4 linked regions of the Schizosaccharomyces pombe genome follow. The gene in region 3 interacts genetically with the main gene of each other region. Each region holds a gene or a part of one and is shown on either strand. Other genes may lie near its edges. The genes, in order: kap114, rnf170, amo1 and spn1.

The links.
Region 1: mutations in amo1 (region 3) and kap114 together harm fitness less than expected from each alone (positive genetic interaction), as found in Schizosaccharomyces pombe (one large-scale study listed by BioGRID).
Region 2: mutations in amo1 (region 3) and rnf170 together harm fitness less than expected from each alone (positive genetic interaction), as found in Schizosaccharomyces pombe (one large-scale study listed by BioGRID).
Region 4: mutations in amo1 (region 3) and spn1 together harm fitness more than expected from each alone (negative genetic interaction), as found in Schizosaccharomyces pombe (one large-scale study listed by BioGRID).

The regions. Positions count from the first base shown.
Region 1 is NC_003424.3:2,371,864-2,379,222, forward strand, and holds kap114 (karyopherin/importin beta family nuclear import signal receptor Kap14), read right to left. Parts: upstream 4,690-7,359; 5' UTR 4,523-4,689; coding exon 4,417-4,522; intron 4,361-4,416; coding exon 2,139-4,360; intron 2,099-2,138; coding exon 1,929-2,098; intron 1,908-1,928; exon of another isoform or gene 1,882-1,907; coding exon 1,763-1,881; exon of another isoform or gene 1,721-1,762; coding exon 1,550-1,720; exon of another isoform or gene 1,514-1,549; coding exon 1,440-1,513; exon of another isoform or gene 1,401-1,439; coding exon 1,281-1,400; 3' UTR 1,189-1,280; downstream 1-1,188. Other genes in the region: SPOM_SPAC22H10.02 (uncharacterized protein), read left to right, coding at 14-102, 240-509; ppa3 (protein phosphatase type 2A), read left to right, coding at 5,492-5,652, 5,719-5,789, 5,902-6,593; SPOM_SPAC22H10.05C (cleavage and polyadenylation specificity factor complex subunit), read right to left, coding at 6,865-7,359. UniProt on the Schizosaccharomyces pombe protein: Required for nuclear protein import and mediates docking of import substrate to distinct nucleoporins. Serves a receptor for nuclear localization signals. Mediates the nuclear import of TATA-binding protein (TBP) and of histones H2A and H2B.
Region 2 is NC_003424.3:4,089,513-4,094,287, reverse strand, and holds rnf170 (ubiquitin-protein ligase E3), read right to left. Parts: upstream 2,167-4,775; 5' UTR 1,960-2,166; coding exon 1,204-1,959; 3' UTR 1,166-1,203; downstream 1-1,165. Other genes in the region: rbm8 (RNA-binding protein), read right to left, coding at 1-111; rpl3401 (60S ribosomal protein L34), read left to right, coding at 521-859; MAPK-activated protein kinase Cmk2, read left to right, coding at 2,209-2,223, 2,264-2,466, 2,532-2,628, 2,931-4,130.
Region 3 is NC_003423.3:3,027,122-3,032,326, forward strand, and holds amo1 (nuclear rim protein Amo1), read right to left. Parts: upstream 3,105-5,205; 5' UTR 3,072-3,104; coding exon 1,817-3,071; exon of another isoform or gene 1,757-1,816; coding exon 1,584-1,756; 3' UTR 1,564-1,583; downstream 1-1,563. Other genes in the region: met3 (cystathionine gamma-synthase), read right to left, coding at 1-1,152; SPOM_SPBC15D4.11C (Mam33 family protein), read right to left, coding at 3,250-3,600, 3,639-3,792, 3,934-4,220; protein mug98, read right to left, coding at 4,629-4,936, 4,975-5,008. UniProt on the Schizosaccharomyces pombe protein: Involved in the cell polarity process where it is required for the correct termination of microtubule growth at the cell ends during interphase.
Region 4 is NC_003424.3:4,850,343-4,856,130, reverse strand, and holds spn1 (mitotic septin Spn1), read right to left. Parts: upstream 3,092-5,788; 5' UTR 3,046-3,091; coding exon 2,866-3,045; exon of another isoform or gene 2,829-2,865; coding exon 2,232-2,828; intron 2,187-2,231; coding exon 1,554-2,186; 3' UTR 932-1,553; downstream 1-931. Other genes in the region: kinetochore protein fta1, read right to left, coding at 1-588; mannan polymerase complex subunit Mnn9, read left to right, coding at 4,810-5,788. UniProt on the Schizosaccharomyces pombe protein: Plays a role in the cell cycle. Involved in a late stage of septum formation leading to the separation of the daughter cells.

The sequences.
Region 1 (7,359 bases), on a different chromosome or scaffold from region 3:
ACTGTTGAACTAGTGAATGATTTTCGTGCTTCCTTTGAGAAAGCAAGGACATTCGATATGGAAGATGATTTGGAGTTTTGTCCATCTCTTTCAGACGAAGAGGTAGGTTTTAAAACAAATTGAAAATTATGTTCCTGAGTCAAGCCTGAAGTGCTCATTGCCATTACATTTCTGTTTTGTACCATATACTTTTTATTCATAGAGGAATAAAAGCGTGCGTACTAACTTTATTGGTTTAGTTAGTATCTATTTATCAGTCTACTGGTCTATCACCTACTAGCAGTTCTCCTTCGCTTTCGCCCATGACCCCCAATTTGTATCCTAATGTACTTCCTAATGTACACCCAGGGGTTTCTAATTACACCCATCATCCTTTATCTGGATTACATCAAAACGTCGGTTCACGTACTCGGAAATCTTCTGGTATACCAATTATTGATCCTGTGACTCGTGCTCCTGCTGTACTTGCTGGCGCTGTTTCGAGCTCACGTGCTAAGCAAATGTGGTAAAGTTTGTACTCTTTTGTTTTAGCAATATGTTTATAGGCGTGCCTTTGTGCATTTTTACGTATTTAAATTCTGGCATATCTTCTATTTCTGTTATTTAACTTATTTGTATATCATTGGTTGTTATCTGTTTTATGATTCTATGGTTGCACTGCATGCTTTTTACATATCCTTTGTTTTTAGTTTTCTTTTGACTATGGATTCCCTTGATTTTACGAAATAATCCCGTTCCTTTTTGTGACTTTTACCTTTCGGTAGCTTGCTGACCTGGTGTTTCTTGAATTTTTGCATAGATATACGGTGGCATATTTTAATGCCGATTTACCTAATTTTGTTCTTTTTCAGTCTTAATTATTTTCATATTGAAATGCTCATTTACTTGTGCCATATTAATCTCCAGATAAGACCTTATTTCATGCTCGTTTATCTGCACTTTGTTAATAATTACCATCATACTCTCTCCAATAAAATGGTAATTATTGGTATTATATAACCTTGTTTTTATGTTTATAATGAACTAAGTTTGTCTGTTTATTTTAATTTAAAAAATGTATCTTTTGAAAGAATTAATTTACCAACTTTATTCTTCATATACTTTAGTCCCTTTCAGCTTAAATAATCCTTTTGACCTTATACCTAGAGCCTTAAGTACTCTGAAAGGTATAATTTTACCCTACTTTCCTTTTAATGCACATGATATTAGTAAATGTTATAGTGCAAGTAAACTATTGGAAATCGTTCAGGTATTCTTGATTTTTTAAATCCTTTACACCTTTATTTTTCTTTAATTTGAACGAGCGCATCCTGTTCTTCCTGAGGTAGTCTAAAAACAACCTCGTTGATATTGTGCAGATTGCTTTTCATAGCTTCCTTAAAAAACTCTAGAAGATAAAACTAAAAATGTTAGCCCTAAAAACCAAAACTTTAACCCACCTGCAAATCAGTATTATCCTCATCTTCTGAATTGTCTACGCCAGAAAATTCATCTTTGGACAATTCGTTAACATCTATTGTTAGCCTTTTCTTTTAAAGGTCTCGCGTACCATTAGCTGATAGCCCAAACGTCTCTGCACTGATAGGACCGTCATCCCAATCATCCGCTCCATCATCGGAAACTTCTTCAACAATTGCATCTTTAGACAACGAAACAAATTCCTCTGAAAGTAGTCGCAATATTTTTTCTCCAACGCTTACATATGAATATTCCTCGGGATCTAGTTTTGGTTAATGAAAACTATCAAAAGCTTTTAACATACGAAGTTTAGACTGCGACCGGGTTATAATGCGATTAGAATGAGAGATAAGTTCACCTTTAACTTGAACTGAATCAAGTAGAGGACTGTCAAAAGAATAAATTTTAGTCATAGCAATACAACTTTCAGGTTAGAATTTATATAAGCATCAAATAATATAAGGACATACATTATAGAAATGTTTTTGAAGTTGCTAAAATAAACAAAGTTGTCACACCAAACGGTCATAAGTACTTCAAAAGCCGTTAGCCCTTGTTCATTTAATAAAGACGATGTCAAGAAGTGCATCATTCCCAAAGAGTCCTTAACAATTAATTTGGCAAAAACGTAAATTATACTCTAAATAAAAGTCAGAAACAGGTATTCAATAAGAACTTACTTGAATAAACCGTGGTTGTTCAGCTATTGCCAATCTCTTAATGCAAGAAAGAAGAATGGACTGAAGATCGACCATTTGACTTGCGTGATCAGCCAATTCAAGTAAGATAGGCCCAACTAAAAAGCAGGCGGAATCATCACTCTCTTTGTCAAGTAACTGATGCAAAATAAAAAGAATGTATTGAAAGCCACTACTACCTGAAATCTCCGTTTCCAATAATTGTGGTGTGTCCTTTTCCAAAAGCCCCTTAAGAATTTCCTGAGATAACTGAAGCAGTTCTGTGTCTCCAGAATGAATTTGAGTAATCTTATAAACAGGGGGCAAGACATATCCAACAAATCCATTAGGAAGTGGTGAAGGACCTGCACGAATCAAACAAGAAAGCAAGGTAGCCCCAATATTAACCATAATCGGGTCTTCTTGATTCAGGACCTGTAATAGTTCTGGCAAAGTAATTTCACACATACTTTCATAGTTATTTGCCGCATGGATAATGTCCTCAAAGGTGTCTTCAATAATTCCACAGATGTAAGGATCAGAAGCGTTCGTAGCAACCAAATTAAATAGAAGTGGAATAACAGAATTACCTAATTCAGCAGCCTTTGCACAATCAAGTTTTACCGCAGAAGAAATAGCTTCCACAAGTAATACAAGAGCTTCATCGCTTGACTTCGAAGCATACTGAGAAAGAACTTCCAAAATCATCGGCTGCAAAGAAAGTATCGGTTTGACTTTTCCGACTGAACAAAAGCGCTCAATAGCTTTCATAGCAGCATACTGTACAGTATCAACTTGTAAAGCATTAACCAAATTATTCATTATTATTTGGAAAAATTGAGAGGCTACTACGGTGCTTTCAGAGAAATATCCGATAAAGAGGAAAAACCTAGAAAGAAGTAAAATTGGAGCATCGGAGTAATCAATACGGACTTTGATAGCCTCGTATATGGGGTCCAAGTAATCATCATAAGTGTCATCTGAAGCAGCATCCACGGAACAACATGCATACAAGAGGGCTTCTTGATATATCCAATTGATTTCATTGTTTAATATGTAAGTCGCGGACATTTCTCGTAGACTTTGCTGGATTGGTAAAGTGGTATGCTCTTCAAATGCACTTAGTACGCTGATGGCGGCACCGCGAACCGTATCACTAGCAAAATCCATAGAAAATTCGTTTGCGATATATTCACTGACATCGCTTTCATATACTTCAATTTGATGCTTAGGTAGTTGCGTATATTGCACCAGAAGTGGAATGCAAGGAGGTAAAGGAGGTACGGGGACCGTATTACTGACAAACAAGTTTTGAACAAACTTGCTTTGCAAAGCTACAGAAACGAATAGCAGTAGTTCAACTAAATAACGAATAGGGTATTTATCACCAAATGCTGAATCATCTAAACCATCGCTAAAAACAACTTCTCGTATATATGGATCTAGTAACTTTTCTATAATATTCCAAACAAGTTCGACGAAGGTCACAACGTACGGTGTCAATTTAGAAGGAAACAATTCGCGAAGTTTTGTAAGAGTCATAGCAATTTCTCCCATGATACAAAAATAACCACAGGAATCAGGTAAAATAACTTGTCGATCATCAACGAGGGAAACTTCAAACTTGTGCGAGAACATATCCATCCAAGGGGGAAGTATTTGTTCAAGAAATACACGAACATGTTCAGCTTTCGTTTCTTTATAAATCTCAATAAGTTCTAGGCAAGAACGAAACAGTTTAATTCCTCTAGCTTGCAACATCCTCATGGAATCATTAGGGGGAGCGGAAAATATAAACTGATAGAGAATGGATGCAAGTTGAGGTGCAATAATAAAGAACTGTTCTTCAACAAGGGACTCATCTACAAGCTCGTCCAGAACATCCAGTGAAGCATTAATAGAGTTTTCATTAGTAGATTGTAAAAGATGCAGAACGGCCGGTACAACTTCTGGCCATTCATCGGGATAATCCACGTTTGCAATTAGAGAAACAGCATATGCCACAGCCTTGATTAAAGTGAAATTGTCAAGGCTCACTAAAAGATGTAATAGTGTTTCTCTGACATGTTTTTTGACATTTTCATCGGGTATCGGTCCATCTTGAAATTGCTCAAACAGTGGAGACCAATGGTGAACAATATATCTTTGTAAATAAATGAGAGAACCTTGTCTTAAAGGAACAGAAGCACCAGAAGATGCGATATCTGTTAACTTCGCAGCAAAATCTTCGTAAAAGATAGTTAGTAATTTTTTCGGTTAGTTTATAGCTTAAGTAGCATACCGTGATATTTCTCAAGGTCTCGTAACCCCAATTCGGCTTGTATTCTTGAATTAGGATCAGCAGATTGCACTTGTTCAAGCAGCTTAATGATTTTGCTTTCAACCATTTAGCGTGATAATAGACGTTAAACAATTGGTAGGTTTTGATGCTATCTGCTTAAAGAAAGTAGATAATAATAAATATATTTATGTACAGACGGGTATAGTTAACCCCTTAAAAATGGCTGTATTTAATAATTTTTTATGCAGGTATAATGCAGGTACTACTAAGAGTGAAATGTTACTAGGAAATTCATGTTCAAAGAAGTGGATGGTAAATAGGTGACATTGTCACTTAAATTGCTAATGTCTAACAAAATAGTGTTAATTGAAACAATAATTGCTTGTATTGTTGTTCATTTAAAAAAAAAATTAAAAAGAAAGGCCATGTAACTATTACTATTTTCATTCTTGATTTTCCTTATATTTTAATGTATTGCATAACTGAGTTTTTTAATGACCGACTGATCTTTGAATACAAGAATATACCTAATCAATTATCGCTTATTTTCAACCGAAATATTTATCTGATGGTCTGAAACGAGAGAAGCACTAAACCTTTTCAGCAGAAGAGACAGATATTCATATAGAATGTCTGAAAGAATTTTAACACGTTTTTCAAGCATTATGTAATTTTTGTTCTTTGGGTATACCATTAGAGGCTTTCTTAACTTAAAATCTCATTGGCGAACTACACAGTATTATGTATTAATCGTGTAGTTTCGATCACTGACAAGTCAGAAACCAACCTCCAAATTTCATAAAACTGACACATACAACATTTTAGTGGAATTTTTCTAATGCGTGCAAATAAAGAGAAGTAACGCGTAAGCTTTCCATATAAGAAGTGCTTAATCCTTTGTTTTTCGAAGCGTATCCGGTCAAAGCCGATTAGACTGATACAAACCTTGGGTGAAATTTTCCCTAGCCAAGCACTGTTTGTGTCTTCTTAAATTATATATATCCAATACAAAACGGTGCAAGACATTGTTTTTGTATTTTAATAAATCTCACTAGTTTCACGGAAATTCCTAAAGATGATTGACCTCGATAACATAATAGAGAGATTATATGAAAAACAATTGATTGCTGAGTCCGTTATTGCTTATCTTTGTTCTCTCGCAAAGGAAGTTTTAATGCAAGAAAGCAATGTTGTCAGGTTGTCTACTCCCATTACCGTGGTTGGTGATATTCATGGGTATGCATAGATTCAATATTGCAAAAAGTTCATTCTTTGTGGACATTCTGCTTACAAAGTATATAGCCAATTTGATGATCTACTTGAAATCTTTCGTATAGGAGGCCCATGCCCATACACAAACTATCTTTTTCTCGGTAAGTTAAAATGATGTTCATTAGAATCACATTAGCTGATTACTACAAATCATTAAAACTGAACATTGAGAACACAGCACATGCTTTATTATTCGTTGCTAACTATTTGAAGGTGATTATGTTGATCGGGGCTATTATAGTATAGAAACTATAACCCTTTTGATATGTCTCAAGTTACGGTATCCAAAGAGGATTACTCTTTTGCGCGGAAACCATGAGTCCAGAGGAATAACCCAAACCTATGGATTTTATTCAGAATGCTTAAGAAAATACGGTAATGCTAATGTTTGGAAATATTTTACCGATATCTTTGATTTCCTAACACTTTCTGCAACAATTGATGACACTATTTTTTGTGTTCATGGTGGACTTTCTCCTAGTATTCAGCACATAGATCAAATCCTTGTCTTAGACAGGTTTAGAGAATTCCCACACGAGGGACCTATGGCCGATCTCGTGTGGTCGGATCCGGATCCTAGCGTGCAAGAATTTTCACTTTCGCCCCGTGGTGCAGGTTTTTCTTTCGGTGAAGTTATTGTAACAAAATTTCTAGAATACAACAATATGAAGCACATCTTACGAGCTCATCAACTATGCAGCGAAGGTTATCAAATATTGTTTGAAAAAAAATTATCGACAGTGTGGTCTGCCCCAAATTACTGTTACAGATGTGCCAACTTGGCTAGCATCCTTCAGATCGACACAGATCAATCAAGATTTTTTAATGTTTTTGATGCAGCTCCTAATCAAGAAACGCCTTTTGTGGAGCCAGCTGCAAAAGTGACAGCGGAATATTTCCTTTAGCTGGACCTGAATTGACAAATGTTAATTTTTTTCTAGCCTCTTTCAATCTATCCTTTATGAAGTTACTGTCGGCATTATATATAATATTTTCAAATCATCGTTCATTAATCGTCGTGCTTTGTAAACCTAGAATTACAGAACAGCGCATCATGCTTGTTTTTTAACAAAAAAATAAGTTTATCTAACGAATATATATAAATGATATAATTTGCATAATTTTTAGTACTCTAGGAACATGTATAATAAGCTCGTGTAACATTAAACGTTGAATTTACTCCTGCCATTTGCAAGTTCCCATTATTAAAGCATTGCTGGGAAGTTGTTCAGGAACTGGAGACAAAAGAGTCATTCTGTTTTTAACATCATCAACGTCCGAAACAAACACATATCCTATGATACATGAGTCAACAACTGTTGCTTCATCTTCATCTTCGCCGACACTTGAAACTGCTAAAATGGAGTTTTGTAAAATGGTCATTGCTTCAGTACTAATTCGCTCCAAAAATTCGCCCTTGCCATGTAATCTTAAAGATGTATTTCCATCTTGCTTTTCAGATTGAGTATTTTCTTCTTCAAACCCTAAAGGAAGGACAGAAGACTTAGGTCCGCTTTCAGACGCCTCCAAAACACGATACACTACCAGTTGGGTGGAATCAACTATCATAGACAAAGGAGAAAGAGGCATCCGATCATCACCATAAAAGTATTGCTTAATGCAACGAGCCTGAAATTGTTGAATCCATTCTTCTTCGCGATCAATACAACC
Region 2 (4,775 bases), on a different chromosome or scaffold from region 3:
TTTGACCGGTCCAAAATCTGCAAATAAATCCTCTACTTGTTCTTCGGTAGCTTCTGGATGAACTCCAGTGACTATGATGATATAACCTTCGACAGATTTTGCTGGTCGCATTATTCTAAATTTTAAAAATTGTAAGAAGGAGATTTCAACGAAATGTTTGATGTTCTAATGCAAAACTCAAAAACCACTAGACATAAAAAGGGATCAGATCAATGAAAATAAGTTGACTGGCCAAATAATAGAGGAGTTAGCTGGATACACTTAGTAGAAAATTGGAATTCTGCATGCACGCTTACTTGCGAAGTAAAAATCCTCTGTAACGATTCCTAGCCAACGCATATGAAAAGCCACAATAACCTACTTGAATTTATATACGTTATAAAACTTATAACGAAGTACGCTACTCTGTATTTAGAAAAAAGGGTGGCCTACCGAGAGTAAAAACAGTCACACACAACACAATTTCCCAAATAGCTGAAAAGGAAACCTGCGCAGAACAAACGAAAAAAATCTAACAAAAATGGCTCAACGAGTTACCTACCGCCGTCGCCTTGCTTACAACACTCGTAGCAACAGAACCAGAATTATCAAGACTCCTGGTAACAACATTCGCTATCTTCACATCAAGAAGCTTGGCACCATTCCTCGCTGCGGTGATACTGGCGTCCCTTTGCAAGGTATTCCCGCTCTGCGTCCTCGTGAGTTTGCTCGTCTTTCACACAACAAGAAGACTGTCCAGCGTGCTTATGGCGGTTGCTTGAGTGCCAATGCCGTTAAGGATCGTATTGTTCGTGCCTTTTTGATTGAGGAACAGAAGATTGTCAAGCAAAAGCTCAAGCAATTGTCTTCTCAAAAGTAAAAAGCTGATTGACCGATTACTTTTTACTGTTCCCTAATTTACTTGGATTTCTTTAAGTGGAATAAGAATCTTTTCGGTGCAAATATTTTATTAACTTGTAGATGGTGGTATTTACAAATAATCGTATCGTAGACACAAGGCTTAATTGTAGTAAGGAAATGCAATTTTGTGAGTAAGTAAGTGCATGCTTTCATAGAGTACACTGCTATTGAATTTTGTATGGTTCTGAATAGCGCATATAATTTTATGATATTACAAGTAAATTTTTACTATCGTACTTTTCGTAGTCAACAAAATCATAAATAATATCAGTATAAGTTATTCCATTACTTATTCATCTTTGACTAACCCATTGTCTGATCAGGCAAAGCAAATCTAATTCTATGCTTGCAAATGGGGCAAGACACATTATTTACAAGTTTCAATCGAGACATAATGCAAGCATAGCAATATGTATGACCACAATCAGTAGTGTAAGGCGTAGTAATTGCTACGCGTTCATCTCCCCTTTGTACACACATCATACAGAGTCCACATTCTTGAGGAACAGTGGTTTCTGCGGAAGTTGTGTACTCCTTATACTTAATCCACAAAGAAGCAGGGATACGGGTGCAAAAGAGTGCATCTACAAACCCAACTGCTATTTGTTGAAACATTCGAAAACTTCCTAACGAGGAAGTGGAAAGTTCTTGGAATGACCCTAACTCTGGTAATGCTGTCTCTGAGATTAAATAACTCTGCAGCCCATTAATGAAAGTGTTTTTCCCTGACATGGCGGATAGCCCTTTCCAAAGACCTATAACACAAATAATCACATTCAGAAATCTAACTATTTTCCTAACATTAGCTGATAAACGCTTTCGTCCTAGTAGTGCGATTAGGGATTTGCATATAACGAGAGAATAAAGCCATTTTTTTGACTGGTATTTTAAATTTATAAATATTAATTCCAAAAAATGAAGGACAGACTCTTTGGTGGAGGGCCGTAGACCAGCTACAATGAAGCTCAGCTCATTCGTTAAACTGCGAGTTGTTTGAGTTGCAATATCTGCTTCAAGCATCAAGCTCCACCTCGAAGTCGCTAATTCCGACTCTATCATTGTGTTTATATTATTCAGTGCACCAAATATCGAATGAGAAAAAAAAATTTTTAAGTTGCGTATTACTGCTTAAATCAAGCCATTGAAAGTATTAAAGATCTAAATTGATCGTTATTAGACTAAAAATTAATCAATGTTAGAGTATTTTGATAAAAGATAGCAAATTATAGATTTTTAGGGCAATATTACTGGAATGTGGTGAGCGTTGGCGTCAGCTATGCACCTACCCACAGCGTATATCAATGCAACATGTCGATACTAGCGGTACGCATTCTTCCTTGCCACTTATACTAATAGGTCTTAGGGGTTTAAAAACTTGTTAAAGCATTCGAAAAGCTCAAAGGGGAGATCGAATGCTTCAAAGTCGGTTGATGTTAGTGTAAACAGGGACGTCGCCGCTTATACTGAGCTTGCTGCCAAAAATGTCAATGCCGGTGGGGATGAAGAAATAAGAGTCGCTAACTACCCTGGTCTTGAAAAATATCAGTTAATTGAAAATTTAGGAGAGTAAGTTATGTCCAAATTTCTTTGGCGTTTTTTATTATAGTATGATCATTTACTGACCCAAAAAGTGGTGCTTTTAGTCAAGTTTATAAGGCGTATTCCATTGATCGAAAAGAGCACGTGGCAGTTAAAGTAATAAGAAAGTATGAAATGAATAAAAAACAGGTATGTAAATTATTGAAATTAATGACTTATTTATTGAAATTTGAGAGGGATTTGGGTTTTTGGAGTCTTCATCAATTTTCAAAAGAAAGGGTTGAATAATAACGTCTCAGCATGAAGACATAGTTTTGTGGCTATACTTGGCAAACTACAAAGGCCTTGTGCAATTTTTTGACATGAATGAGAATGAGTTAGTGAAGCTAGAAATCATTATTCGCACATTGTATTATGAAGTTGTTGTTGCCCATTCCCCTTTCAAATATTCTATCAATTATTTTATTATTGTTTATCTAACTCTTTTTCAGCGGCAAGGTGTATTTAAAGAGGTTAACATTATGCGTCGTGTTAAGCACAAAAATGTGGTCAATCTTTTTGACTTTGTTGAAACAGAGGATTTTTATCACTTAGTTATGGAGCTTGCTGAAGGAGGTGAGCTGTTTCATCAAATTGTTAATTTTACCTACTTTTCTGAGAACTTGGCACGACATATAATCATTCAAGTGGCAGAAGCTGTTAAGCATCTTCATGACGTTTGTGGAATTGTTCATAGGGATATCAAACCAGAAAACTTATTATTTCAACCAATTGAATATCTCCCATCTCAAAATTACACCCCACCGAGCTTAGAACCAAATAAGCTTGATGAGGGCATGTTTCTTGAAGGTATTGGAGCGGGCGGTATTGGAAGAATACTGATTGCTGATTTTGGATTCAGCAAAGTGGTTTGGAATTCTAAAACCGCAACGCCTTGTGGAACAGTTGGTTACGCTGCTCCTGAAATTGTCAATGATGAGTTGTATTCTAAAAACGTTGATATGTGGGCGATGGGTTGTGTTCTTCATACGATGCTATGTGGGTTCCCACCATTTTTCGATGAAAATATAAAAGATTTGGCTTCTAAGGTTGTTAATGGTGAATTTGAATTTTTATCGCCTTGGTGGGATGATATTTCCGACTCTGCTAAGGATCTAATTACCCATTTACTCACTGTAGACCCTAGAGAGAGATACGATATTCACCAGTTTTTTCAGCATCCCTGGATTAAAGGAGAGTCAAAAATGCCTGAAAATTTTACGTATAAGCCCAAACTTCATGGCACGCCAGGTGGACCGAAATTATCCCTTCCACGCTCGCTCGTTTCTAAAGGTGAGATCGATATACCCACGACACCTATCAAAAGCGCTACTCACCCTCTTTTAAGTTCTTATTCGGAGCCAAAAACACCCGGTGTATCATCTGTACATGAGGCAATGGGTGTTGCTTATGATATTCGTCGCTTAAATCATTTGGGATTTTCACCTGAACAATTAAGCAAGAAGTCAATGAATACTGGCTCTATCAAAGAACTCATTTTAGATGAAGAAACTACTACCGATGATGATGACTATATCATTTCTAGCTTTCCTTTGAATGATACTTTGGGAAGTGAAGGTAAGGATCCATTTTCTTTAAATTTGAAGGAATCTTCTTTATACTCGAGGCGATCTGCTAAACGTGTTAATTGAACAAACCTTCTTTTATATCCTTCCTTTTGGCTCAAATCTAGCTTCCAGTTTACAAGCTGATGGTTAGAGTTATCTCTTTTGGCTCTTTTCATCTATCGTCATTGTTATTATTATATCATTGCTGTACACTGTGCACGACTGCTATTTATTTTTTCTAGAGTTTTTAAGTCGTTTGGCATTTATTTGTTTTCTCTAAGCGCACCGGCCACGCCAACATGATGGCCCTACATTCTTTTCTCTATGTTTAACTTTCAAGTTTTAGTTTGATTCTCTTTTTAGTGTTCTATCTTTGTTTTAGTCTTTCAATTGTTAAAGCATTAAGTTTTATTTGTTTACATTCTAGTTTCTACATTACACCTTTTCCATTTATACATTTTCAAAGTAATATAATACCATTTAAAGATGAAAATTTAATTTAACAGTAAAGTATGTATTAATATTTTCTTGGGTTAAAGGATACTTGTTTGGAGAAGAGAATTTCAAAACTATGCAGGCATTCGTAAAAAAAAAAGTAAAAATAGAATCTAAAGAATGTATACACGCAATAATTGGTATGGTACATAGCATGAGCATTTTGACGATAATGGATGTTAAATCGTCAAAAGATGAGAGAGCGGATTGGTTTGTATTATATCTTGCTAAAGG
Region 3 (5,205 bases):
GGGAGAGTTTAAAAGAGGATTTGATGGAAACTCACAAAACAATGCCATAACTTTCTCTCCACTTTCTAACCGTTTCTCAAACTCATCAAGTTGCTCGTCATTACCTAGTCCATAAAAGTAGCAGCCAGATCCCCATTTCTGTAAAATTTTTAAGGTATCAACATAACAAAAACCAAAACAAACACTTTTACGGCTATCATCAAGCACCAACCTTAATATGCGATGAGTATTGTAAATAGCACTCATGCCAGTAGGAAATAAAAAAACATCGTCGTGACTTAAACCTTTAACTTCACGTAAATACTGAGACCCTTCTTTGGGTAAAGCCTTTTGCAAATCAACTTCATCTTTTAAGGTACCAGCGATACGTCGTCGAAGAACAAGTTTAGCTGCTGTAGCCAAACTTAAATCTAAATTACGCCCATATCTCTCCTCCAAATATAGGGATACGTCTTCCATTTCATCATTAGCTTGGTTTCCTTCGTTAGTCATCCAAGTATTCAAAGCCTGTAGATCTGGATGGGAAGCATATCGGCTTCTGCTTTTACTTTTGAGATGAGAAATAGACCTCTGGGCAACCAAAAATTCGGAAATAGACTGAATTTTTTTGTAGGAATGCAGAAAAGCAGCTGCGCGTCTGCTTGAAATACCGTCCCCCGTATGTTGCCAGAATTGCTTGGCAATCCCAAAGTATTTGGATGGAAACAATACAGAATAAACCTGAGGTATGTGTATTTCTTCAGTATATTTGCGATTTCGGTCAATTGAATCAAGATGTTTTCGCAGTCCCTTCGTGGCATCATAAATAATGACTTCCGCAGAGTCTATAGGTCCTTTACTTTCAAGAAAAGCTGCACTTTGCTTAGCAACGGATAATGAAGGATACAAAAACATATCGTAGTCCTTTAGCTTCAAAATCTCAATCTCTGGAAATTTCTTTATGATGCTAATGCAATCCTTGACGTGTGCGCTTATAAAGAACCTCGGATATCCTGACTTCATTTTAGTAGTTACATTAGGATCTCCCTCTTCATATCCAACATTGGATTTCCATGTAGGTAAAGTAACTGAAATGGCATGTTCAGTATCAGCTGGAATTGATGAACCGACCTCTGTAGGTGGATTGACTAGGTAAGAAATATTTGCAGACATTTAAAGAATTAAATAAAATTGAGATTTATATATAAATAGCCATAAACAAAAGTTTTGGGTTCTTGCAAAAATCTGGAGTGAATTGTGTGTGGAATTGGGACAACCATCTCTTTAGACCCAATAGGCGTGCAGGACAGTTCTGTCCTCTATATCAAATCAGCTATCAGTTTGATTCATGAATTAATAACAAAAAATAGTACTGTTTTCTTTCTAGAATTTTACAATGATACATAAATCGAGTTAGGTACAACTTTATCAGATAGCCGTGTAGGAAAGCATCACACTTTGTCTAATACTCGTAATTGAAATTACATATATATATATATATATATATTTACAACCTAATATCGAATATGAAATTTGAACAAAGTTTAATACTAATCAAAAATCCCCGAAAAAACTTACGTTGAATAACTATTTTAATAAAATAATTAACAAAATTGTGGTGGAGGGGCTGTTGTTGGAACTTTTCCGGGAATGAAATCTTGAGCTTCAAATTGCTGAATCATTTCTGGGGGAAATGCGAGATTTTGATTGGAATTACTCATTTCTACTTGATCATCCAAAGTTTGGATAGAAGAAGCACCTATTGGATTAATCGGACCTGTCGATGATCGTTAGTCATATTCGTATACTAGCAAGGATACAAAGTAAAAAAACTTACCGTCAATTGTGTTAGAAGATCCAAACATAGGAGTTTGGATTATATTTTTGTTAGCAGGATTATCGTTAGAAAATCCTGAAGCGGATATTTTAGAGGTTACATTGGCAAATGGAGATTCAAAAGTAGTATTAGGCGGAACAAAAGGGCCTTGAGGTTGTTGCATAAAAGTAGCAGGGGGCTGAACAGTAAAACCATTTGGGTTCACTGGTTGTGTTAAAGATGTATGACCAAAAACTGGTTGTGAATTATTAGGAAGCGAGAATTGAGTATTCAAATTTTGAAAAGCTGATTGCTGAGGCTGATTCTGTATTCCAAAACCGCTGGCAACAGTAGGACCGAAAATCGAACTTGGATCATTCACATTTTGACTTTGTGAAAACCCAGAAGCAACTTGTGAAAACGAGGAGAATGATGAGTTAGGAATCCCTTGTCCGGAATTAACAAATGACGAATTTGGCTGAGATATTCCCCCAAATGCTGATGGCCCTGAGGTTGCCGAACCAAAACTAGACGAACCAAAAGAAGATGGGTTGTTTTGGACTGGATTACTTCCCGTAAATGAATTTGAGGATGTATTTTGAGAAAATGGAGACGCATTTAATTGCGATGTAAATGCAGAAGTCGTAGGGGCGCCAAAAATATCGTTTGCTTGCTGATTGTTATTGAAAGAATTATTGTTATTTGAAAAAGAATTGAAAGGACTATTTTGAGTTGGCTTGTTGAACTGATTAGACGTAACCGTTGAATTGCTAGTAGACTTATCAAAAATTGACTTATAATTTGTCTTTCCGACGAGTTTATTTCTCATTTCATCGAAAGCAGCAGCAGGCGACCGTTTAACGGCTGCTGCTTTTGCTTCTACATCATCCATCAACTGTTTCTGGCGTTGTTCATATGCTTGCATATTGTTTGTCGCTTTAGCCTGATATGCCCACCACCGCAATTCTTCAGGCGAAACATCGCCTTCATAAATTGATGGTAGATTCTCAACTACTGAATAACCTGTAAAAGGCCATTGTGGTTTTGCGTTTTTAAGATCGTCGTTAATATCCTTCATTCTTCTATTGGGAAGCAAATTATCTAAATCGCTTCTCTTCAAACGCCTTTGTACCCATATTGGAGGTCGTCCATTCTCTGGACGAAAGACATTAACCTTAGAAAATGCATTTTGTCCATTAGAAGGTACCGTATGTTGATTTTTACAATTGGTACCATACCTGCACCGATTTTGAAGGAAATACTTACAAACGACCATGTTGTTGAATAGTTGAAATGATATGCTAAAGATAAGTATAAAAATGTATCATAATCATATGTTATACTCCAAATTTTCTTATTTTTAGAGTGGGCGTCCCATTTGGAATCGTAGTGTGGTGTAGCGTTATTGCTCCAATTAATCATAAAGTAAAGGAATTCAAAGAACAATTATACCATCATTGGGAGTCTGATTTTTTAGTTGTTGATGATTCAGAAGGTAAAATAAATCCAATAATATTATGAATCCAATGCTTATAGGAGACATTTTCTTTTCGCCAACTGCGAGATATTAGCGCCTTCATGAATTTTACTGTAATTCCTTGTTCATCCAAGAATTCAAGTAAACTTGACTTGATAGAAGCTGGAACGTGCTTTGTTTTTCTGCCAGTGTACTTCTGTGATTTTTGTAAAATTAACCTCAAGTCAGATGAGAACGCTTGAGAGTTTTGAGGTGATTGAAAAGAAATGCTATCAAAATGAAGCATGCCCTTACAAAGTATTAAAGCACACAAAATTGTGCCATGGTTCTATAATTGTAAGTTATAATAACATGTTAAGATCTTACGTTAGTGAGTTGGACATAAGCAGGAATTGAATGCTGAAAGAACACTAGTTCATCAGATGTTTCGTTACCATTTTCATTTTCAGCACTATGCGTTATCGGCTTTGTTTGGACGTAACTTTTACGAGAGCTATATACGGGAACAGTAACGCGTATTCTAGCTACGTTAGTACTATTATATCGAAAGAAATTTAAAGGCTCTGCTGAAAGCATAATCTTAAACGTTGTATATTAGCCAACGCATAGACATGAAATCACATCGTTGAATTCAACAAACAATTGAGGAAAAATAGCTTACCTTTCCTTTGCCGTTTCTTTTAAAGCTGAAATGTAGTTAAGCGAAGGATCTTCATGGATTATAAAAGAATGAAGAGCCTTTTCGTATCCTTTTTTAGGTAATGTCTCATCAAGAACCTGTTTCACGTAACCCAGTTCAGAATCTAATTTCAACGCTAGTTGCTCCGTTAGGATACCACTTGTAAATTTTCGTTTACTACGAAACATATCAAAGTAAGAAAACCTCCTTTCGCAATTAAATAAAGGATATTTAAAGTTTCGTGCTGTAGAGATCGCTTTTCTGAGCATTTTGAAGTGCAATAAGCTGAAGAATAGAATTGTTACAAGCCGTCCAACAAAGATTTGCTTCTTCAATGGATTGATGAATTGTACAGATTATAAATATTTAATGCAATGGGGCATATGACAATAAGCACTTTAACTGAATTTGCTTCCTTATGAGAAGTACGCAAAGCAGTGACTTTAAAGTAATACAGCGGTTTTCACTAAAGTGCTTGTATACCATAGCAATGGATGAAGAAAATAATTAATGGAAAAATCATTATTGTAGACATCTGATTAAAGAAAAAAATAAAGAAATTAAGACTATGAAATTCTTTTTCCTGGTTTTTTAACGGCGTCGATTATAACCATAATGATGAAGATGCGGTTTTTGAATGAAATTGAAAAAATTGGCACAAAATTTTGAAAACATGACTAATAATAAACGTGATGGTAATTTCCGTTTGGACCATGCTGCATATAATACGGATTCGCATACCACAAACCATTCTCACGTTTGGTAAACGGACGATAAAACGCAGAATATGAATGGTTTATTTTAGCTTCAACATTGTATAGAGGGGGAAACTGGCATGTTTCTTTACGATTATAATGATTTCTACTTTTTCGGTGATTAATTTGTGGAATCCAAGTTTTAGCTCCGGGGTTCATGCGAGAAGTATTTGCTCGAACTTTCAAAGGAAGTTCTTTTCGGAGGTATTCTTCTCGGGCTTTAAGCGCAACTAATAATTAATAATTTAACATAAATTAGTCTACTTACGCTCATGCTTTAACTGCATTACCGGAATGCTCATTGTGTCGACAGCAATAGCCTTTTGCAAGCAAACTATGAGATGTGTTAAAAGATGTGAATGGTTCGTTTATTACCTTCAATTTTGTCTTCCATTGTCAAATTATCAGCATGTATATGTGAAATCAATTATAATAAAGGATCTCAAAATAATTTGAATAGTTTCCAAAATTTCAATCAATTTCGAGAAATGATGGTAAA
Region 4 (5,788 bases), on a different chromosome or scaffold from region 3:
TGATGAAAGATTAGGATTTCCGGTTGTCCAGGTCAACTCAAGCGGGAGGGCTGTTTGACTATTTACATGATTTTGCCAAATTTTCAAAAACTCTAAAAGTATTTCTGGAGCAATTAGGCATGGTAAAATTTGTGTATCAAATTCCTGCTGGAGGAACTGCTCAACGGCCATCCATAGCGCCCCATCCATACGAACAAGAGCTAATGAAAAGAATACAGAATTCCCTTCAAGCGATAAACGTGTTCTGTCAGCCTCCGCGTGGGAGAACTTCCGAAATGACTCGAAGAAAAACATCTGGCCTTTGCGTTTCACCTCTAAATCACTAGACGTCTCATACGAAATATCCAGCTTTAAAAATTTAGGGAAACTAGATGTGTTTCCGAACTCCGTAAACGTAGCTTTCTCAATTATCAAGTCAGCAAACCTAGTACTATTTGTAAAGTAACCAGTACGATCAGTACCATAGCGAAGAAATCTCGTAAGCTTTTTACCTATTTCAGTCAAGTTTGAATATTCAAACCCAAACAAAGGAGACAATCGATATGCGGTGTATGTTACATTATAAAAATGGTGATCCCTTAAAGTCATAGTCAGCCTGAGCTAACACTTCAAAACGCTCTAATGATTTTGTTTCTGCTAGCGATTTTTGGGATCATTAATTAAAGTACTTAAAAAAACGTTATGAGTTATTAACTACATTGACCTTCATCAAATTAATGAAATATGTAGAGGTTGCTACCTTTTTTACTAATCGCTATGTATCATTATATAAGTCACCGTTCAAATAATAATAAAGAAACTTGAGTATCAACATTTTTTACAATTAAAGATACTGGTGGCATATATGTAAATATAAATTTCATTTATTTACTAATACTTACAAAGAAAGAGAAGCTCATAATGATCCTTCAAATATTTCAAATTGGCCAAGTAACTTTGTTCTAATACCCCGCTAAATTTATCGTTCGAAATAAACATTTTGTACAGTGGTAAATAGTATTCAAGCAAGTAAACGTATTTAGCATCAAACCGATCTTTGTATTGAATGACTTACAACAAATCTCATATTTACTATTCTATAACACCGAGAAGGTATCAATTGCAACAGTGTTTTTCGTTTAACCGAACAAAAATTATGCAAAAACTAAAGTCTAAAAACGACGTCGCAAGCAAATCTCTTCTAATAATATATGCATCAAAATTTTTTCGACTCTTTCAACTGAAATCTAGCTGTCTAAATACCCCCACTGACTGGAAAATAGATATTTTTCGATAGATTGAAAAATACACTGGCAATAAAAGAAGCAAACTCCCACTTTAACGGGTTGAATAGAGATAAGCCGGCTGTTTCAATTTGTTTGTTCAAGCAAAATGTCAATTAGTGAACCTCCTAAAAAAGAAAATTTCGATAAAAATTAACGACTCCATATGGTAGAATAATCAAGGAAAGATATACAGCCCAATATTGGACTTTAAGTAGTAATTAAATAACAAAGAAGGAGATAGCAGTAGAACTGCGGTGTCATACAAATAAATATCAGCTAGTAAGGAGACTATTTAAAAAACTTCCTTTTACTCTTCTCATTTTCGGCCGCAGCTTTAGCTTGCATTAACCGATTTTTGTGATCAATTAAGTCAGCTTTTTGCTTCTCCAATGCTGCCTTCATTTCGCGATGACGGGTACGTAACTCGTTTTCAGATTGTTTAAGACGATCTTCTTTTTCTTGAACCTTCTGAGAAAAAATGGTTTTCATTTCTGCTTCCATTTTCATCAATTTCTCTTCGTGTAAGGCACGCTCCTCTTCGAGTTTAGCACTAGGGTTGACTTCACGAAAAACGGAGTGATCTTGTGATATTCCGCTGCTAAGCAACCGTTCAGTACGATACGCTTCATACAGCTTATTTGTCTGTTCTTTGAGTTCTTCTAAGTGTGTTCGAATAAGCATTTCACGAAGCTTAGGGAAATCAGAATGCTCTTCATTATCGACTTCAACAACGCCCCATGGGTACCGCCTCCCGCGGACGCGCTTTCCTTCATTGTTGACCACGAATGTATTAGAAGCAATTATAGCAAAAGGTATTCTACTCATGATGTCTGCATTTTCTGCCACTGATTCAGGATCATCGGTCTCATATGTCGGAGGGAAGAAAATTCTGATATTGTGGTATTGGATATCTCTCAAAATCTATCATTTTTTCATTAGCAACTTTAAATCAAGATTAGGGCTTACCATTTCCTTCGTAAAGTTAAGTTCATCATCCGTTAGTGTATCGGCTTTCGCAATGATGGGTATAATATTTACTTTCTCGTGCAAAGCCAACATAACTCGAAGCTCCATAGCACTTATAGCATGACCAGTAGGCTGAATAAAAAATATACAAGCATGAACTCTTGGATCTTGAATAGTAGATCGAGGATTGTGCTTTTCAAGCTCAAGATATTGATCATAGCGACCCTCGATATCTGTCAAAACTGGTTGCCAACAATCGGTGTTGTCAATAAAATCGCCAAAACCGGGTGTATCAATTACATTTAATTGAAGACTGATACCATTTTCCACTATTTCAACTGCAGAAGAGTTGATCATAACAGTGGGTTCTGGGTTCACTCCAAAATCCCCAGTTAAAGATTTCTGGGTCGGTGGGTAAACATCTCTATTCAATAGCGTATTCACAAGTGTAGATTTCCCTGAACCGCTTTCCCCTAATACTAATACGTTGAAATTAAAACCTTGACGAACACAACGACGATGCCATTGATTAGGAAGACTAGCGAATCCAACGTATCCGTTCAACTGACGCTGGATTATACTAACGTGCGGATTGAACTAAATATTAGTAAAGGAATTTTAAATAATTGATTACCTCTTGTTCAGAATTATCCTGAATGGGTTTTTCTTCATTCTTGTTTTCTGAAATGGCTGCCTCAACATTTATTTGCGTTACATTATCTGTAGATGTGAAAGAATCAACGTCGGAACCCCTGCTTCTAGTGGAATCATCTTTAACTGTAGGCATACCATCCGCGAGTACCATTGACGCCATGTCAGAAATTATCGAAAACCCCCGTGTTGGTGGTTATGTATGTGATGAAGAGTGTAGCTAGGAGCTCGAGCATGAACATCTATTTGCTCAAGTAGGAAATTAAACTTAACCAATTTTTTTCTTAATTATGTTTCACGAAATTATAGAGCTTTTTTGAAATTTCTTAATTCACTGTCGCGTCGAATTTAGGTCCTTAACCTCGAAATATACACGGCTGGGATGCATTAAATAAAAAGATACTAAACATTGTTATTCCATTGTTTTAGTTGTCTTGTTAATTTTACAATTATTTTTTTTAACAATTGGATAAATCTAATGAATTAAAATTATCCATTATCTGTATTTGTTTAAAAACATTTTTTGACCTTTTATTTATACCTAAATTATTTGTTTGAATACCCTTTCAGCATGCAATCATCTAAATCTTTTGAATTTAATTTAAAATATTTATTTTTCTATTAATATAGAACCTTGGGCAGTAGTCGTTGAATTGAGCATTAATGCAAATCCAATTTATTGCACAACTGATTATTTATTCAATTGAACTTGTACGTCGACAATGTGACCCTCAACGATTTTAAAGATTTAATTATTAGACATAAAACACAGTTAGAAATTATTGCCTGGCCAACATTTTCATGCTAATAGATGATTCAGAAACAAATATCTATATTTCTTTTCCTACGAAAAAGTAAGATCAAACTAAAACATTAGAAGCTTGTTTACCGTATATTTTTGATCTTAAAGGACTTTTAAGATAAATTTGAACTTATTATAAATAATAAAATGTTAAAAAAAAATTTAACATAATAGGATCATTTTTACTAATTAAATAACGATTATATTAGTCTTTATAACAGCGTTTACAGTCTCCGAATTGCAGTATAAGCTCTAAAACTCAATTGAATAAAGGCATTTAATAGTCAATCATTGTTTTGTTTTCCTTCTAGCTATTTCAGCTCTTCTTGCTATCAAAGCACGGAATGACTTAACGCGGTGTTGTGTGGCTGGTATCAGAGAAAGAATAACTCCAGTAAAGGTACGCAAGCAATCCCAGTATGTCGTCGTTAAAACTATGAATATAATATGTCAAAAATTAATGTGAAAAGACGTTAATCAACACAATATAGAAGTACGTGTCTTATATTAAGAAATCGAAATATCTATAATTGAATTTAATAACGAAATCTTGCGTGACTACGCTATTAATTCTAGTTGTTATGAATACAGATGGGATCAAGGTAACTGGTATTCACCTCCTTTTCGACGTAACCAGAGCCACACATTATACTGGACAAAGGCGTTCTCTGGCGGCGGAATCGAACCAATATATAAGAAAACACTCAAATTCTGGGTTTATTGGAGGAAATTTTTTATTTTAAAAACAGTTTCTTTTACTCGAAAAAGCGTTTTTAATACTTCTTTCTTTGGCTTTGTTTTTACTCGATAGGGGCAAAACCTGTACAAGCTTGATTCGTGAACGTACGACATAATCCTTTGTTTGTATTAATGCTTAAATTATCTTAAGTATTTATTAACGGGGTATTCACTAGTTGAAATACATTTATATATATAAGGTGTTACTTTCGCGACTACAGCTGTTAGCCGTTGCTTTTTTAAGGAATTCGCATAATTATTTAAGAACTCGATTCTGTTTAGACCCACAAAACAACATCCAGATTCGGGTTGATTTTAATTTTTAACTCTCTATTTTTATTACTCTTATTAAATTGTGCCCTTCCATTTTTATTTATAAACTTTAAGATGCGCGTGTACAATAAATCTAGAATTGTAGGGCAGCTCCTTTTTGTGGCCCTCGGTATTACTTTCATCTATTACCTATTTACTCCATCTGTCAATTCAAATGCCAAAGTTCAGATTGAAAACCGTGGGGGGAATTCTTACGAAATATACGATATGAACAAAATTACGGAATCTTCCGATCCCATTCGTAACAAAGAGGAGGTGTTAATCTTAACTCCTATTGCTCGATTTTATCCACAGTATTGGAAAAATCTTCTTGAGCTTGACTATCCGAGGAATTTAATTTCTTTAGGGTTTATTGTTCCTTCGTCAAAGGACGGTGCAAAAGTTCATCGTGAACTTCGGAATGCTATCAATGCTGTTCAGAAAGGTCCAGGCGATAAGCGTTTTGCCGATGTTAAAATTTTAATCCAAGACTCTGATCTTTCTTCAGGGCAATCAGAGGCCGAACGGCATAAATTTTCTGCCCAGAAGGAGCGTCGGGGAAAGTTAGCTGCTACCAGAAATACATTGCTGTTAAGCACTCTAAAACCTAGTACCTCTTGGGTTTTGTGGCTTGATTCTGACATTGTAGAAACTCCCTCCACGTTAATCCAAGATTTGGCGGAACACAATGAAGACGTGTTGGTAGCTAATTGTTTCCAAAAGCAAGGCGATAAACTAACTCCTTATGACTTCAATAGTTGGGTCGATTCTCAAACCGCGCAGGAGCTTGCAAGTCACATGGACAGGGATGAGATTTTGCTTGAAGGATATGCTGAATTGCCTACTTATCGAATGTTGATGGCTAAAATTTATGAGGAGCACAAAGATCCATCTACAATTATGGCTCTTGACGGTGTAGGCACCACTGCTTTACTGGTGAAGGCAAGTGTTCATAGGGATGGCGCATTATTCCCAACCTTCCCTTTTTACCACCTTATTGAAAGTGAGGGCTTTGCAAAGATGGCTAAGCGTTTAGGTCATGGAGTTTATGGAT